Linked DNA regions of Drosophila melanogaster. The protein of the gene in region 1 purifies or fractionates together with the protein of each later gene. This does not show direct contact. Each region holds a gene or a part of one and is shown in the gene's direction. Other genes may lie near its edges.

Evidence for each region.
Region 2: the proteins of CG15717 (region 1) and Prosbeta7 purify together in Drosophila melanogaster (affinity purification with mass spectrometry, with the first as the bait; one large-scale study listed by BioGRID). This does not show direct contact.
Region 3: the proteins of CG15717 (region 1) and Prosalpha6 purify together in Drosophila melanogaster (affinity purification with mass spectrometry, with the first as the bait; one large-scale study listed by BioGRID). This does not show direct contact.
Region 4: the proteins of CG15717 (region 1) and CG15084 purify together in Drosophila melanogaster (affinity purification with mass spectrometry, with the first as the bait; one large-scale study listed by BioGRID). This does not show direct contact.

The regions. Positions count from the first base shown.
Region 1 is NC_004354.4:13,127,016-13,135,029, forward strand, and holds CG15717 (uncharacterized protein), read left to right. Parts: upstream 1-2,002; 5' UTR 2,003-2,086; coding exon 2,087-2,173; intron 2,174-2,290; coding exon 2,291-2,962; 3' UTR 2,963-3,021; exon of another isoform or gene 3,022-3,275; intron 3,276-3,977; exon of another isoform or gene 3,978-4,163; 3' UTR 4,164-4,781; coding exon of another isoform or gene 4,782-4,956; intron 4,957-5,916; coding exon of another isoform or gene 5,917-7,421; 3' UTR 7,422-7,550; downstream 7,551-8,014. Other genes in the region: CG32638 (uncharacterized protein), read right to left, coding at 1,236-1,283; MFS10 (major facilitator superfamily transporter 10), read left to right, coding at 4,782-4,956, 5,917-7,421.
Region 2 is NT_033777.3:5,356,466-5,359,998, reverse strand, and holds Prosbeta7 (proteasome beta7 subunit), read left to right. Parts: upstream 1-1,634; 5' UTR 1,635-1,923; coding exon 1,924-2,075; intron 2,076-2,142; coding exon 2,143-2,644; intron 2,645-2,715; coding exon 2,716-2,868; 3' UTR 2,869-2,987; downstream 2,988-3,533. Other genes in the region: Cerk (ceramide kinase), read left to right, coding at 1-20, 449-651, 712-841; CG1161 (uncharacterized protein), read right to left, coding at 3,419-3,533. UniProt on the Drosophila melanogaster protein: Non-catalytic component of the proteasome, a multicatalytic proteinase complex which is characterized by its ability to cleave peptides with Arg, Phe, Tyr, Leu, and Glu adjacent to the leaving group at neutral or slightly basic pH.
Region 3 is NT_033779.5:10,219,529-10,223,117, forward strand, and holds Prosalpha6 (proteasome alpha6 subunit), read left to right. Parts: upstream 1-1,822; 5' UTR 1,823-1,914; coding exon 1,915-1,917; intron 1,918-1,985; coding exon 1,986-2,615; intron 2,616-2,673; coding exon 2,674-2,880; 3' UTR 2,881-3,018; downstream 3,019-3,589. UniProt on the Drosophila melanogaster protein: The proteasome is a multicatalytic proteinase complex which is characterized by its ability to cleave peptides with Arg, Phe, Tyr, Leu, and Glu adjacent to the leaving group at neutral or slightly basic pH.
Region 4 is NT_033778.4:18,849,055-18,852,463, forward strand, and holds CG15084 (uncharacterized protein), read left to right. Parts: upstream 1-1,789; 5' UTR 1,790-1,881; coding exon 1,882-2,832; 3' UTR 2,833-2,902; downstream 2,903-3,409. Other genes in the region: MetRS (Methionyl-tRNA synthetase), read right to left, coding at 48-152, 211-1,046, 1,125-1,246, 1,334-1,436; CG18190 (uncharacterized protein), read right to left, coding at 2,903-3,409.

The DNA.
Region 1 (8,014 bases):
TTTTTGGGTCAATTTTCGCATTTTTTTGTAAGGGGTAACATCATCAAAATTTGCAAAAAATGGCGAAAAAATAGAATTCTTATATTTGGACACAGTTTAATTGGAAATTTAATTACGAGCTCATTGAGGTATGACATTTCATATTCAGGCAATTAATTTGAAAGTTGTGGCAAAAAAACGGATTTTTTGATCACATAAATTCGGAAAAACAGCTTTTGCCAAAAACGTAATATTTACAAATGGAATTTTTGTCATAAATACGCTAAAAATTGTTATATAGATGAAAAAATAACTGTTTTGAGCAGCAAATTACCAAGGCTAACGTTCCCTATCATTTTCATCGAAGAATTAAGGAAATTTTTGAATACAGTTCGATTTGGTATTTAATAACGAACACAACGAGGCATCTCATTTTATATTTGGACCATTATTTATAATGTTATGGTAAAAAAAACGGATTGTATTATGATAGAAATAACAATATTTATTCTTGGACAGAAAACTGCACAATTGGAAAATGTTTTTAGTGAAACGATGTAATTAGTTTATAAGGTTTTCCCGTAAGCTGTAAATTTCGCTCAAGCAGTTTTATTTCGCCCACACAAGTTGCATTAGTCCAGCTGTACATACAATGTCATTTATGTGTATTTTTTACTTATACATATAACGATGGCATTAATTTACTTATTTTCGTTCTACAACAAGTAATTTATATTTGCCGATATATGTATGTATATGTAGCTATATCCACTTTGAATGCAAAATAAGCATCCAAACACATGTAAGTAAATTTCCAAAAAAAGTTTTTATCTACTTTTCATGGCTTTTATTCCTTAAAAAACAAACACGTATGTTTCATACGCCCAGTTTAATTTTTTGACCGCTTCCGTAAAATTCTTTATCTGTTTCTTCTGTTTATGTGTGCCACCCAGCCAGTTGAACCGCCCTGCTGTTAATATTTTGACCGCAGCTGTACCATATGTTATCTATTTACCCTGTTTATTCTTTCCCCTAATTTAAATGAGACTTTTTCATTTATTCAGAATTTTTATCTGTTTCTTTGTTTTTTTTTTTTTGTCATGAGTTATGAGTTTTCCTAGTCGCCCATTGCTATTTTTATGGCTGCAATTGTTTGTTGGATAAGATGAGGGGGGTGAGTGCAGTGCACTGCTTGCTGGCCAGTGCAGTGCAATAGCGGCATCTCGTCTCCCGCATCGCATGCACTGCTTGCTTACCTTCACACGCACAAAAGGGGATCCCATCAGCTCGTTGAGGTCGGTCATGATGATGTCGCTCTCCTGCTCCTTCTCGCTCGCACTCAAATGCAGTTATTGCAGCGGCTACCGCTCTCTCACTCCCACTCCTGCTGCTGCCACACGCGGCGCAGACAACAACAACAATAAAACACAAAAAAAAATGAGTCGCACAGCTGTTTTGTTATTTTCGTGTGCAACAATTTGCTGAAATCGTTCCACTTTGCGTCTATTTTCACTTGCAATTCACTTTCAATTGGTGCTAAAAGCGCAATAGCTTCACTGTATGAGTGTATCTGTGTGCGTCTGTGCGTGTGTGTGTGTGTGCGCGCACTTGTTGGTCTTCTTTCGTTCTCCAAATGTTCTTGTTGTTGCTGCTGCAATATTTGGCAATCGCTGTTGTTGTTGCTGCCTTTGCACGGGGGCGTCAACAATGAACGGCGAATAACGAGTGATGTCAACAACTATTAGCTAGCCGGGGGCAAAAGTGTTATTTTCTTTTATACGCTGGAAGGCGTCAGCGCAGCAACACGACCAATTGCAATTTAAATTAAAATTGTGATGTGTGGGCCAATGTGACCGGTCGCTGTTCCGCTTATACATGCCAGTTATTATTTCGGTGTGACCGTAGCTATAAAATGCGACAGGCCGTGTTAAATACTGAATAATACCAATAACTGGTATTTTAGTTTATCAGCGATCTTCCTTCTCTGCATGTGAATGTGTGTGTGCGTGTGTGTCTGTTTATGTGCGTGTGTGTATGTTTGCGTGAGCCGCTGATAACGCAGCTGATCGGGCGATTCCATTGAATTCAAGTTTTCAATTCGCAGAGCATGGCCAGCAACTTCACCCAGTCCCAGCCGTCCAGGATCACCAGCTACATGGTCAACCAGCTGCAGCCGACGGCGCAGGAAACGAAGGTCAGTCAGACAATATCGGACATAACCTTGATCTCCTTGGCACACGGATTGTGTCTCAGTGAGATTATCGGAGCACCTACATACATATGTTAAATTCAAAAATGTATCTACTTGCAGTTGGCGCTGATTCCCAGTGCACCCCAGTGGCGCTCCCCCCAGCTGATGGTCGTCTTCGAGGACGGTGATCTGCACTCAGCGCGCCACCAGTTGCTCCAGTCCCTGCAGAATCCCTTTGCCGAGGGATCGGTGGCCACGTTGCTACTCCAGGAGAGCATTGCCGATCAGTTTGTGGGCCTAGTGGCGCAGGATTTGCGTCCGTTGTCGCAGGAGGTGTCCAAGCATCCGAGCTACACCAGCACGCTGGCCAAGATCGAAGAGCTGAAGGCCAAGACAGTACAAGGCGAAAGCCTTAAGGCTGGGGAATCACCCGTCTTGGTGTACGACTGCGTGCACAGCTATCTGGGCAATGGAGCGACGGGAGTGGTGACGGTGCACACATTCCGCACAGCCAAGGAGGCCGGCCAGTTGGCCAAAAGGGATCCCCTACCTTACGGCCAAGTTAGTCTGTGGAATGAGAAGCTGGGCTGCGCCTACGAACTGATACCACGACTACCGAGCGATATTGTGGCCATTAATTGCTTCAATCCGGACTTGGATCCCATCTGGGAATCCTTTGCTGCCGACCGCAACGATGTTCTGCTGGCCAAGAACTATCACTATGAATCGCTGGTGGTGAGCGGCAAACGGAGGATCGTCGTCTTTCCCGTGGGCACCATCTTCGGCAACTGAAGAGTGACAGTTCTGGACTTCGACGGCGACGAATCACATCCGGAAGGAATTACATCCAGGTGCTTTTTAAGCCATACTTTAAAATACCTCTCTAAGCATTTTACATGTAGCTTGGGGCATCCTTTTCGACAGTTCAATTGGAATTATATCGAACTAAATTAGGAGTTATGTCAAACAACTAGCATTTAATGTGGCTTAACTTAGAAATTATCTGATTTTGCAACCATCATAATATTCCAATTGTATTGCGAAAAGGTCCTTGAGTCTGAATTGTTTTTTTGATACTCTGTCAATAATTGTCCACTGAAAAATCATCAGCCAACTTTTATGCATCTGTGGGAATTTGGGGTAGGTCCACGAATCTCTGCATGCAACAGGCATTTTTTCAGGACATGCGCAAGTGCTGCTCCAGAAATAGAAATCCTGCAAAGCAGTTTAAATGGAAGCAGTTGAAGGGCACACTCATACACTTGGGGCCAAAATAATAGCGCTCATTTTAGTAAACTTAACATACTATGAAGTAAATGAACCATTTAACTGATAAACTGGTAATGATTTCAATGAAAATTTTTAAAAGAACATTTTGTTTTGTGCGAGCTACGCAGCGATCGATCAACTTAACCCTTTATCTTATCTATTTCATTGTAAACGGACAACAAATATGGAAAAATTTCCAGATGTAGAAATGTACATACTATGTGTGGAATTTAGGTTTTTGCTCATTTCTTTTGTTCTCTAACTAGAGCCTGCTTGAATTGACTTACATACATTAAAAGAGCTTGGCTACTTAAACGTAGCTATTGTGTTAGCCTGAGTTGTTTGAGTGTGCGTGTATTTGTGTTGGCAACTAAAGTATACTTTGCCTTTCTCTCCTCGTTGTTTTTATTCTCAAGATTTTAGTACAAATTCCCTTTTTGATTTCGACTATCTGGAAATTAGTTTTGTTTTATTGTTTTTATTTTCTTACAAATAGTAATTTTTCAGTGCTGGCAAATATACCATATCGCCGTTTATAGTTTGTGTGTGTGTGTAAACTAACTGTAACTAAACAAAGATAGTATACTTAAGTTAGTTCACAACAATACAATTCACACTGCACTCTCTTCTCTTCTCGCACATCACCCCCTTTCTCTTTGGCCCTCTCTAATGCTCTCTCTCTCACCCACTCTCTTTCGTTCTTGCATCCCCTTCTGTGACGTAGCGCCGCACCATTCATGCTCCACTTTCACACGGGAGAGAGCGAGAACGCCACAGAGCCAGCCATTAGAGAGGGAGCGAGCTGTGGTGACTCCAAACGCAGTGGCGCAGCAAAAGGGGCAACTAAACAATGACTGAAATTCCCAAAGAACTACGCCATCATTCTATCGCCAGAAAGTATTTACTCTTCTCACTCGAGGAATCCCCTCTGTGATTTTGGCTCGCCACCCCACAACTACGCCACTGTTACCCCTCTTGTGGTTAGAAGCTACGTTTGCTGGCGCTGCCTTTTGCTTAGGTTTGTTGTTGCGCTGTCCGTTGCCCGTTGCCATTTGCCAGTCCGTCAGTCTGCGCTGGTTCCCGCTGGCGTGGTGAGGTGTCCGCTCGCGTTGCCGCTCCCGTTCCCGCTCCCGCTCACACGGCTCTTGATTTTGGTGGACAAGCAAACCGCTTCCGCCACCGCTGGCGATACAAATACAATAACTACACTACAGCTGCCGCTCCGGCAGAGAAAATGCGTTGGCAGTTGCAGTTCCAAACGCTCAAAAGACGCTCGAAAAGCACAGACCGCCAAGCACCAACATCTCCAATCGGAATCCACGAAACCAAATAGAGCGCCACGATGCCACCGCACAAATGGACGGACGAGTCGCGGGACGCCTCCTGTTACTACGATCCATCCACCTCCTCCAATTCATCCGCCTCGGCGGAGCGCTCCGACGACGAAGCGGACGACGAACGGGAGGCGTTTTGCTCCGGCGAACGACCGCTAATCCGCTCCAGCGGCGCTGCGGAGGGTGAGTAGCTACAAGATACACAGATGGGGAAAGATATTTACCTAGCTATAGCATATGTAGGTGGAGCAACGTAGATATGCGTATTACAAGCTCAAGATACCTTTATTTATTTAAATCTTTAGTGCTATTTCTGCTTCATATTGATTTGCATTTATGTATTGTACATACATATGTCCTGGGTCAGTACTTTTATTAAACATAAACTCTCGGAATATCTGTGTAAAAAAAAACAGTACTCAACGCAAAGATACTTTTTGTTGTAAACAAATTTCATTTTACGTATATCCAAGACACTCTAAAATTGTATCTTTCAATTTATAATAATTCTCATTTAATCTTAAAGTAAGATATTATATGGCTTATAGATTTCAATAACTAATAAAAATAATTAAAATGTTTTTATACATATAACATAACATACATATAATATAAAATAACCTAATAATTACGCATAAATTTTAATTTTCACGTAATACTATCCAGTTATCCAGTTAACAGCCTATGCCTATGTATAATTTATTCGCCAAGGGCCGAAATTACGACTTGTTTACATTTACTGATATGAAGCGAAGTTTTTCTGAACTTTATAGAACAGTACAAATCTGCATTTCAAATGGAACGGAGGGCCGATAACTTTTTCGATGGTATCAGATCGTAATATTTTTATTTTAGATTTTATACTTGAGCGATTCCTATGAACAAGTATCTGAAAAGAAATTAAATTCACTGGCAATGGCATCTCATGTAAACATTTCTAAAGGAATAAAAAAGTGAAGAAATTGAGGCAATTTAAACTATGCAATGATAACACATTGAATGGTATTTAGGGATTTTCAGTGTAACATTGGGCCTTATCGAGAACGGCGAGAACTTTTAAGTAAAACCGGAACTGATATCGTTATTACGCCTCCTAAACCATAGCTTACTAACCATCCACTCTCTCCTCTCTCCACCCTGCAGAAAACCATGGCTGTGGCCCAAAGACGCGTCACATTTTCGGATTCATGGGCTTCCTGGGATTCGCCGTGGTCTACGCGATGCGGGTCAATCTGTCGGTGGCCATTGTGGCCATGGTGAACCAAACGGCAATTCCGCACAGCAACTCATCGGTGATTGATACGGACACGTGTCCACTACCGGCACCACATCACAATGGTAGCGATCCCAATCCGCAGAAGGAGGGCGAGTTTGTGTGGGACGAGGCCACGCAGGGATTGGTGCTCGGCAGTTTCTTCTATGGCTATGTGCTAACCCAAGTGCCCGGCGGACGGATGGCCGAGCTGTATGGTGGGAAGAAGATCTACGGCTATGGAGTGTTGATCACGGCGGTCTTTACGCTTATAACTCCATTGGCTGCCCACTGGGATCTGCCGCTGTTGGTCCTGGTCCGCATCCTGGAGGGAATGGGCGAGGGCGTCACCTATCCAGCTATGCACGCCATGCTTGCCCACTGGATACCGCCGCTGGAGAGGAACAAGTTCGCCGCAATCGTCTATGCGGGCTCCAATATCGGAACAGTCATTTCCATGCCGCTGGCCGGATGGCTGTGCTCGCTGGACTTCCTGGGTGGCTGGCCGTCGGCTTTCTACATCTTCGGACTGTTGGGCATTCTGTGGTTCATCGCATGGATGTATTTGGTGTACGACAAGCCTAGCGATCATCCCAGGATCTCAGAATCGGAGCGAGAGTATATCGAAAGGAGTCTACAGGTTCAGAGGCTAATAAATCAGGATCTAGCGGAGGCCGAGGAAGAGGAGGGACAGGATGAAGTGAGTCTGCGGGCGCCGCCGGAGGAACCGATACCCTGGTCATCGCTGCTCACATCCGTACCTCTGTGGGCCATCTTGTTGACGCAATGCGGCCAGGGATGGGCCTTCTACACGCAGCTAACCGAGCTGCCCACCTACATGAGCAACATCCTACACTTTGACATCCAGTCGAATGCTCTGCTCAATGCGGTGCCGTATCTAACCTCCTGGTTCGTGGGCATTGCCTGCTCCGCCCTGGCGGATTGGATGCTAGCCAGACGCTACATATCGCTGCTGAACTCGTATAAGTTGTGGAACACGGTGGCCTCCGTGGTGCCATCACTGGGCCTGATTGGCATCATCTATGTGGGCTGCGATTGGGTGTGGGTCACCTTTATGTTGGCCGGCGTGGGCTCTTTCGGCGGCGCCGTCTATGCTGGCAACCAGATGAATCACATAGCGCTCAGTCCACGATATGCAGGCACCATGTATGGCATCACCAATTCGGCGGCAAATATCTGTGGCTTCCTGGCTCCGTATGTCATCGGTCTAATCATCAATCATCGCGAGACTCTGACACAGTGGCATCTGGTCTTCTGGCTGGCGGCGGGCTTGAATATAGCCGGTAACTTCATCTACCTGATCTTCGCCAGCGCCGAGGAGCAAAGCTGGTCGAAGACACCACCCACACGCAACTCACGATCCCAGCGCGCTTGAAGCAAGCCTAACTATACGCTATTTTAGCTAGATCATAAGCATTTGTGATAATTCCGATATATACACATATATCCTACATATGTATTTGGGCTCGAAGTTTTCCGGATGCAGGACAAGAATGTGGCTTCCAAAAAGAAAAAAAAAAAACGAAACGAACGAAACTAGTGCTACCAAATCGGAATGGAAAATCGAAAGGATGTTAACTGTTTTAGTGTATTATATACGTGTATCGTCCTTTTATATGGACTTTTGTTTTGCTAGGCGTCTTTTTTTTGTAAACAATTATACCAATACCAACTATATATATATATACATATATATTTATATATCTATCATATACACGCTCGAAGGCACGTAGATCTGTCGAAATAAACAGCACAAACATATCGAACTGTGGCACCTGATTTAAGCATTTTATTCTTTAACTGGCAGGTGGTTTTCGTGTATCCGACTAAGTAATACCTCTTCATTGGAGAATTATGATTTGATGGGTTATTTATTTTATGCAGCTACTAGAGTCTTGGATTTTTAAAACACTTTTAGGCTTTTCATGTTTTTGAAGGCTGTAAAAATGTTGCATAATTTCAGGGGCG
Region 2 (3,533 bases), on another chromosome or scaffold:
CGGGCAGAAGTGGTGATATTGTGAGTACTAACTATTACAACTATTCAACTTTCACATCCAAAAGAACACCTTTCCTATAAGAGGCGTCCATTTCCTTTGAAATAACATTTCCATAACATTTTAACTGCATCTTTAATTGCCAAATCCCCTAAGCCTACAAGCTGAGCTTAGTGCTTTCTATCCTAAAAGCCAAAAACCCAAAACCGAACCCCATCTAGCTCGGATTGAAGCGAGGGAAATCTGTGACAGAAAGGTTATTTTACGAAGATCTACTAGCCGCTCTGGTGGCATCCATATAAAGTATATACTTGACCAGTTTCAACAATATAATGTTTTATCTAGTGAATGCGATGGTATCTTTTACTGTAAAAATATAAATGAAAAATAAAAGGATACAATTAAATTTTGTAGAAAACAATAAATATTTAAAAACATTTTCCCATTGCAGCGCAATTTGCCTTTTGTAGAGGTATATCGCACAAGGGAATTCCGGTTCAGAACTTTTTCTGCCAGCGAGGAGGACTACAGCTTGGCAGGGTCTTGTCAGCCGATTACACCGCCTGAAGAAATGACCGCCCACTCCTCCTCGACGGAGTTTTCCAGCTGGAACTGTGATGGAGAGGTGGTGACCGACCTGGACATAACCATGCGGTGAGTTGGTTGTACCTTTAACTTCAATAAATCGCTTATTAACCGTTCCGTATCTGGCAGATCGCATTGTCAGCTCATCGAGGTCTTCATGCGGGGTCCCCATTCCTACAGCAAGCCCCTCAAGGGCGGCACCACGCCCACAACCCCAGCTAGCTCTAGCGACAATGTTTACTGCTGCTGCAAGGACTAGAAGCTTTAACCCCATAGAATTAGCATCAATCGTTGGCCGTGACATGTAGCTCTTAGTTTTGCGTAGGGTATCCTTATTCGTATATGTATCGTGTTAAAGAGCGGGTCTCCCCGTCATTGTTTTTAGCATAGCTCAATAAAGCAACTGATATTATCGACTGTATTATGGCATCTGAAAGATGCGGCAGCAACCTAAACATTCCCCTCGGAAGCATTATGCACATACCTATATATTTACAAATTGTGTACTGGTATACTGGCAATAAAAATGTATTTATATGTCTTCAAATTTATAATTCTTTATTATTAATTTATATGATCAAATGTTATGATAAAAAACTTCGTTGGGTTCCCAAAAACAACAATCCGGAACATGTGCGTTTTTCCCACCAATATGAATAAAAGCAGAAGTTTTAGCAAAAGAACCTTATTCCGCTTAAAAAGCTATGGAGAATCGTGTTCGAAGGGAGAGAAGGGAGATATTGGATTTGTAGATTGACCAGGATAATTTCCAAACGTCATTTACATTTATTGCTCTCGATTCTTATACTTTAATGACCATTGAACGGCTTAAAATGAAGTAAAGCAAATGGTCATTATATATTAACTAAACATATATTTAGTTTCAAGGAGTAGTAAATACCGTAGAAGCAACGGGTATACATGAGTCTTAATCCTAATTGAGTGAAAAGTTCTTTAATTTCTTATCTTTCTTCTCCTTGATTTGTATTATCAACGAGGATTATAAAGACAAAAGTAAAAAAACAAATTCAGTATAGGCAGCGTGGTGTTAACTGTTTTACATTACTTTTAACATCAACATCTAATAAAATGTTAAAAAGTTCACAATTAAACTTCAAATTAATTTAATTTAACACATGTAAAACGGTGTGACCAAGCTAATAGTGGATTCATCTTTGGTATGTCTGGTATTTTTAGCTACCGGTTGCCGATACTGGTATTGCCGCCCGCCTAAAGTCTGTTCACACTGCGCTGACTCTTGATTTTATTTGTGCCCGTCATTCTCCGGCAGCGACAAACATTTCAAAGTCTCGCGTTATTCCAGTCTCCGAATAAATTAGCATGTTGAACAACTACAACAGCCTAGCGCAGCCCATGTGGCAGAACGGACCCGCTCCCGGCGAGTTCTACAACTTCACGGGCGGACAGACGCCGGTCCAGCAGCTACCGCGGGAGCTGACCACAATGGGACCCTATGGAACCAAGCACAGCACGTAGGAACTGCGGATATGTTTATATGCAGATGTACCACTTGTTTACACTCCTTTTACTATTCCGCAGTGCTTCCAGCACCACGGGCACTTCCGTGCTTGGCATTCGCTATGATTCAGGAGTGATGCTGGCCGCCGACACCCTGGTGTCTTACGGATCCATGGCCCGCTACCAAAACATTGAGCGCGTCTTTAAGGTCAACAAGAACATCCTGCTCGGCGGGAGCGGCGACTTCGCTGACATCCAGTCCATCAAGCGCAACATCGACCAGAAGATGATCGAGGACCAGTGCTGCGACGACAACATCGAGATGAAGCCCAAGTCCTTGGCCAGTTGGATGACCCGTGTGCTCTACAACCGTCGTTCGCGGATGAACCCCCTCTACATTGACGTGGTTGTCGGCGGCGTGGACAACGAGGGGACTCCGTACCTGGCCAACGTGGATCTCCGTGGACGATCCTACGAGGACTACGTGGTGGCCACTGGTTTTGCCCGCCATTTGGCCGTTCCGCTGGTCCGTGAGAAGAAGCCCAAGGACAGGGACTTTACCGCCGTAGAAGCTTCCGAACTGGTAAGGAATTTCGAACTCTGATGGGGGGACTCTTCATTATTTAACTACCCTACCATTTTCTTATATTCTAGATCCGCACATGCATGGAGGTGCTTTACTACCGCGATACTCGTAATATTTCCCAATACACTGTGGGCGTGTGCAGCGTCAACGGATGCGGCGTGGAGGGGCCCTTCCAAGTTAACGAAAACTGGACATTCGCCGAAACCATAAAGGGATACTAGAGCCTCCGATTCTGAATGAACTTAGTTTAGGTCTAGCTCGGCGGTTTTGCATTAAAAAAAAACACTTGTCTAAGGATATGTGGTTACATGATTTATTAAAAATAAATGTGGCTGAAAATAATACGTTTAAAGTTATGGTTATTGTGTGATAGAAACTATCTTCGAGTTATTCTTTCGTTAATCTCTACTGATGGAATCAAAAAGTAGGCGTCAAACTAAGAAGCCCAAGGGAGTTTCCAAATCTAACTTGGACTCACCATTACGGTCTTACGTTCCTTATTTTCCCAAATTATAACCATCAATTATCATTAAAAGTTTTATTTTAGTGGATTTGTTGGTTATTCCTCCCGGCATTCAACTTATTAATTAATATGCAAACACTCCTGACAAACATATTTTGGTTTATTTTAATTAACATAAAATCTGGCTAAATATACAGATAATCAATTTGATCCAAAGGGGAATTTCGCAAAGGATAACTGCTTGGAATACGTGTCTTAAGTCGCCCATGCGCCTCCTAATCTCCGCCAGCTGCAAACCGAACCCCTTGTTAGTTTAGCATGGTATGCCTGTCGTAGATGTGGCGTCTCTGCTCGCGCACCTGCCGCTTCCACTTGTCCTGCTGGTGGCCCACACGATTGAGGACATTGGCTCTGGCACTGAGC
Region 3 (3,589 bases), on another chromosome or scaffold:
TGTATTTACAAAGAAAAATGTTAGTAAAATTTTCAAAAATACCACATGTTTTGTTAGGCATGAATATGAATTAATAAAATATTATTCAAAATTTCTAAGAATGCTAAAATTAATAGCGGAATTTTGACAAAACGATGGTTAAACTTTTAATAAATTAATATTTATAAATCTTTATGACTTTGTGTCATAAAAATCAAACTAGAATATGTATTAAAATAAATTTAAGATAAATCTAAACAATTGCATTCGTATTTAAAAAAAAAGATGAATGATTTTACTATCTTGTATACTGAAAATATTCTATAAAAAATGCATGACAAAAAGAATTGAAATAGTTTTCGAAATCGTACACCTATGATTTGTGTGCTAATTGACACAAAATGCGTTTTAATATCCAAAAAACTCGTGATCCATTAAGAGCAGTTCAAGAATTGTGACCCAATGGTCAATATAGAGTGAATCCACGAACACTGAGACCATTTGATACCGACTAGCTAGGTTAACAAGGTAGCTGGGCATGGAGCTACATACATAAGTCGGGTTTGGTCTTTGACATTGATACGTTAAATTTCGCGCTAAAACGCATTGTCGTTAACTGGCTTTCGTTATATGTATCTACAATACTAAACGACTACTGAGAAAGTGATGATGCAACTAGTTGTCTGATTTTATGGAGGGGGAAATTCCATTATGCTCGCTCGCTACGTACTATGTACAACTTCTTGGGAAATCGACACAACCGCTTCGATTGCCTTTTTTCCCTTCGCCACATGCAAATTTGGCTGGTGGTCAGTCGCATTTGGTAAATGGCATCGGGAATGGGATATGATCAGCGGATTGAAATATTCTGTGCTGGTCCATTCACGATGTTTTATTTATATATTTATTTTGCGCTATTTGGATATGTAGCTAAGCGGATGTCACGGAATAAAGCAATCTTGTAGCGAAGATATGGGAATACGGACAGCGAACAGTAGCCGCATTGAAGGGCACGCAATATAAGTATACTATCACTTTCACAGAAATCGTTAATTGTAAACATTAGTAATGCGCCGAACCAATAAAAATGTTTTCTTTGTTCGTGCACATACGTATATAGGGATATTATGAGGTGTACATATGTATGTAGCGGTTTGTGTGTATGTGTGTGTGCAATGAAGTCACCTTAGTTAATTCCTTCAGTTAATTAAATTACACGGCTTTATGATTAAGGTGCGCACGAAAATCTTTCTTTCTACTAATCTTAACAATGCAATTTTGATGCTAACACTTTCGAGTGGAGGTATATATATAGGCGAGCATATACCCTCGACAAACAATCCGATTACGGAGCTACAAACCCTCGGTCCCAAAACAGGAGAGAGTGAAAACTAACTGAAATATACAATTAAAACGTAAACACTCCCACTGACAGCTTATCAGACTTAATGGCAAAACAATCGATTGTAGTCGATATGCAGTGATTCCGAATGCAAGTTGGGAACAAGCGAATGGAACAAGAAATTCATTTAATTTTTTAAGTATGCAGTTAATAAATTAAACTAAATATAACTTAATTGTTAGTTAAGTCCCGATAAGCCGTTATAGTTTAAAATTGTATTACTCACATGGTATGCTGTAATTGTTGGTCAATTAAACGTGTGTAGTCAGGTATAATGTGGTGCTGGAATTAATTTAACTACGATTAACAAGGTGCTCATACAAGTTTACTGATTATAATTAATATCATTATCCCCTTAAATTTGTATGCATATCCTACAATGTTCTATTGCATCGTTCCAAAAATGATAGCATGCCCGAATCCCTTATCGATACCCGATACACAGTTTGTTTGTGTCTCCCGGCGTGCCATAACTAACTATCGGGCATTTCTACTTGTCATCATTGAGCTCAGCGGCTTGCATTTCAAAAGTCATGGTAAAGTGTTTATTGCGAATAATGGTGTGCTAACTGCATTTGTTACAAACTCACATCTTTGCTTTCAGTTTCGCAACCAGTACGATAGCGATGTTACTGTGTGGAGTCCGCAGGGACGTCTCCACCAGGTGGAGTACGCAATGGAGGCCGTGAAACTTGGCACCGCAACCGTGGGCCTGAAAAATAAAGATTACGCTGTACTTGTCGCCCTGTGTAAGCCGACATCGGAGCTATCGGATACCCAGCGCAAGATCATCCCAATCGACGATCACCTGGGCATTTCCATTGCTGGCCTCACGGCTGATGCCCGCGTCCTTAGCCGGTACTTGCGCTCCGAGTGCCTGAACTACAAGCACTCGTACGATACAACCTATCCAGTCTCGCGTCTGATCACTAACCTGGGCAACAAGATGCAGACGACCACTCAGCGCTACGATCGCCGTCCGTATGGAGTGGGCCTTTTGGTCGCCGGCTACGATGAGAGGGGTCCGCACATCTATCAGGTCACGCCATCGGCGACCTTTTTCAATTGCAAGGCCAATTCGATCGGATCGCGTTCACAGAGTGCACGCACCTATCTGGAGAAGAATTTGAACAAGTTCTTGGACAGTTCCAAAGATGAAATCATCCGTCACGGAATTCGCGCTATACTCGGTACCCTGCCTACGGATGAGCAAGGCAAAGATGCCGGTCAGTATGTAAGTTCATTGCACATTTCCCGTCGCGAATAGTTAGTAAATTGTGTTTTTCTTGCAGGACATCACTGTGGCCATCGTCGGCAAAGACCAGCCATTCACAATTCTCTCTAATAAAGACAGCGCCAAGCATGTGGCGATTGCCAAAGAGAATGACAATGATACGCCCAGGAACGACGATGACGATGATCGCCCATCCCCCCCAGAGGAACCAGCAGCCGGACCACGCGACCCAGAAGTCCTGGTTGCAACCGAGCAGCGTCCATAGGCATTTATAGGGCTATGAAAGCATCTTAACCATTAAAAATGTAAGATTCAAGGATACAATAAAATTGTTCATGCATTTGCATAGATCCTAAAACGGAACAAACTGAATAAATGAATACAAAAAATCAATGTTATGGGTAAAATTTTTTGATTTTAATTTTAAACCTTCATTTATTATTTATTTATAGTATTTATTAAATATTGGTTTTTCGATATAAGTTTTCCCAACTTATTTGCATTTTTCCGATTTCACAGTTCGGTCACACTGTTGGATTAAAAATATTTATCAATGCCGGTATTGAAACATTTCTACTATAAAAAAATGTTGATTGCTTTTAGTGAATGACAAGTTATCCTCTAAGATGGTTTTTATGCCAAATAAAATGTGCCACTTCAGCGGCAACTTGTATATTTATTTGCTCACACCTAAATTACAATTAATTACATAACGAGAGTGATGGCAAATGGTTGATTTAAATAATAAAATTACATGGTTTTCTCATGAGAAAATAAAATTGTTGGTGCCTTTGCTGAAGCGCACGTAAACAGTATATGTTAGACTTCAGTTTTATTTGTTTAAAAAGTTGCTTCGAAAAGATGTACCATTGTTTACAGGAGGAACCCATGTTTTGGATGATAGATTAAGCAACAGGTGTTGTTTTATAGGGTTTTATTGCCGAAAAAGAGTAAAACACTTTAATTAAACGTTG
Region 4 (3,409 bases), on another chromosome or scaffold:
AATAATGGGTAAGTTGGAGCTTGAAATAGTGTACCAGAAATACCCACCGATCAGCCAGAAAACGATCACACTTTTGGCAAAGCAACTGCTCCACGCTCTCTGTGATGATATAGCCAGCTTTGAGGACATCCTTAAATGCCTCCTGGACAATGCTGTAAAAAACAAGCGTTTTTTGATAAGGATATCATTGCTTAAGCAGCCAAAACTTACTCTGTTTGCTCTTGGGTTGTGGTGCGTCCAAAGTAATCAAAGCCAATGCCGAACCAGCGGTAAATGGCGTTGTGCAGTTCGAAGTACTTGTCGCAGATCTCACGGGGAGTAAGGTTCTCTGCCAGTGCCTTGTTCTCGGTGGCCGTACCGTACTCATCCGTGCCGCAAATCAAGAGTGTGTTGTAGCCAGCAGAACGCGAGTAACGAGCATAGATATCCGCAGAGAGAACACAACCAATGATGTTGCCCAAATGTGGCACATTGTTGACATAGGGAAGCGCCGAGGTGATGAGCACGTTACGCTCACCGGGCTTGGGAAGAACAGTTCGCTCCTCCTTGATTTCCTTTGGAGCTGTGTAGGTAAAGGCAGCCTTCGCCGCGCTTATTTCCTCATTCGTAACAGTATCCGCCACCGTTGGCGTGGTATCCACAAGAAGTTTGCTTGCATCCGCCAGGCTGAGACGTTTTAATGGTACATGATGCAAACCTCCATAGCGATTTGACTGCTGCAGAGCATTAAAGCTTAGATCCTTTAGTGGCTGTTCGGCAAGAACTTCCTGAACTTCGGGAAGCGCTTTCACCCTGCCATACCAATCCCTCAAGTTGTCCACGTTCTGTGCTCCCTTGAGAGTGCCATCGGGAGCAAGGAGCGACCAAATGGCGATGTCGGCGGCACTGGGTTTGTCGCCAGCCAGGTAGGGGGTAGCTTTCAGTTTGTCATCCAGCTTCTTGACCAGAGCATTCAGCACGGGCAGCGCGTTTGCATCTGCCTTGTGGCCCACAGCCATGTGGTGGGCCAAAGCCGGGGCCAGCAACGTGGCAGACCATTCCAGCCACTAGGGAGAGAGCACATACGGGAATTAGTTTAACCTTCAGGGGTCAATGGGCCAATAAGTAATTTTCGGAACCCATACCTCATCGCGCTGCTGCCCCTTGCCCACGAAAAGGTACTTGGCAATGGCCGCCGGCGAGAACAAACGCAATCCGTTGTCCAGCTCCAAAGTGGGCAGCACCAGCAAGTCCTTGTACTTAGCGTCTGCAATTAACAATAGTTATTGCATCAGAAATGAGTCATTTTCAGAGCATTCCCCAGAATTCGAAGGGAATCCGTGGCAGAACTCACCATTTAGGTTAACCAACTGCACCTGCACCGGCTGCTTGGCAAATTTGGCGAGCATTAGCAGCTGCAGTCCCAGCGGGTTGCCATCATTCGTGTAGATTATCATTTTGCCTGGATCGGACGCTAATTCTAATTCAATTTACGTGGCAAAAAGGGTTAAAAATCCAACCAAAGTTTTGACGATGCCCACGAGAAACTATTATTTTGGTGATGGGACAGATGGAAAAGCTGTCACGCCGTCGGTGATGTTATCGATTACTTATTTATTTTATATGTCAAATAATTTGAAATAAACAGTTGGCATTAAAGTAACAGGTAATATAGTAGGTCATATTTATTACATATTAATTGTAATATGACTAATAATAACAAGACTAATTCATATATGATTTTCTGGCTATTTTTAGCGTTTTCCGCACCACCGATAATGTCATCACCAGCGACCCGAAACAGCTGATTTAAAAAAAGCAGAAATGTTTATTTACATTTGACAGCAAAAGATTGAGCTTGTAATTAGTTTAAATATTTAAGTAATCCTATCCACTTAAAAAATGGGTGAACGCAAGGGACAGAACAAGTACTATCCGCCCGACTATGATCCGAAGAAGGGCGGTCTCAACAAGTTCCAGGGAACCCACGCCCTGCGGGAACGGGCCCGCAAGATTCACCTGGGAATCATCATCATCCGCTTTGAGATGCCCTACAATATCTGGTGTGATGGATGCAAGAACCACATCGGCATGGGCGTGCGCTACAATGCGGAGAAGACCAAGGTGGGCATGTACTACACTACGCCGGTTTTTAAGTTCCGGATGAAGTGCCACTTGTGCGACAACCACTTTGAGATCCAGACGGATCCCGGCAATTTGGACTATGTTATACTTTCGGGGGCTAGACGGCAGGAGAACCGCTGGGATCCCTTGCAGAACGAACAAGTTGTACCGGAAACCAAGGAGGTACAAAAGCGTCTCTTCGACGATGCCATGTACAAGTTGGAGCATCAAGCCAAGGATGCTAAGGCAGGGGCAGATGCCAGGCCCGTGCTCCAGAAACTAGTGGAGCGCAACATGAGCGTCTGGGATGACAGCTATATGGCCAATAGTCGCCTACGCGCCGAGTTTCGCCAGCAGAAGAAAGAGATCAATGGTCAGCAGGAGCTGGATCGACAGTTGTTGGCCAAGAGCAGCTTGGACATTGCTCTCCTTCCGGAGACCACACAAGATCGCGAAATGGCAGCCCTGATGAAGTTGCAGACGAAGTCAGCTCTGGAACGGGAATCCGAGCAGCGGTTGGAGCTGCTTATGCGTCCAGCGCTTCCCGGAGCAACAGTCACCACATTTGGTGGACTCAAGCGACAAAAGGTTCTGAATACCCAGCTCCAAGTACAGGATCTTGGCATACGGCGTAAAAAGTTGGAAGAAACTACATCTTCAGCCACGAACGAAAAACCCATAAGCTTAGTGGGGGATTACTCCTCCTCAGACAATGATTCCAACGGCTGATTTTATAATGCTTTCTTTATAAATAATTAAATGATTGTATAAAACAAAATAAGTACAAATAAAAAGAATTCTAATATAATCCGTCATTGGGATCCGCGTGTTCGGCGCCTTCATCACCATTATCCTCATTAACCTCGACGGGTTCCTCGTTGATTTCACCATCTATCGTTTTGTAGAGCACCGCTTGAATGCGTTTGCACAACTCAACTAGCTGGTTGTTGTTGATCATGTCGTTGACCAAATCCTCGACCAGGCGCAGTTTGTTGTAGATCTGATTGCTGGCCTCCATGATGTCCTCCCGCTTCAGGCTTAGGTTCTTCATTTCATCAATCAGCTCTTTGAGCGCATCATCATTGGCGTTGACTGGTGATCGCTCCTTGGCGAATTGGCGCGGCTTTATGGGCTTTGCCAACGGCGCATTGGCCAGCGACTTAATGTTCTCCAAGCCCGGAGCCTGCGAGTCGAAGAACTTCTTGAACCACTGCAGGAACTCAAAGTTGTCCTGGAAGCGACCCTTGATCAGTCGATCGATTGGTACCGTTTTGTCCAGCTTCAAGCGATTGAAGGCTTCCTGGAA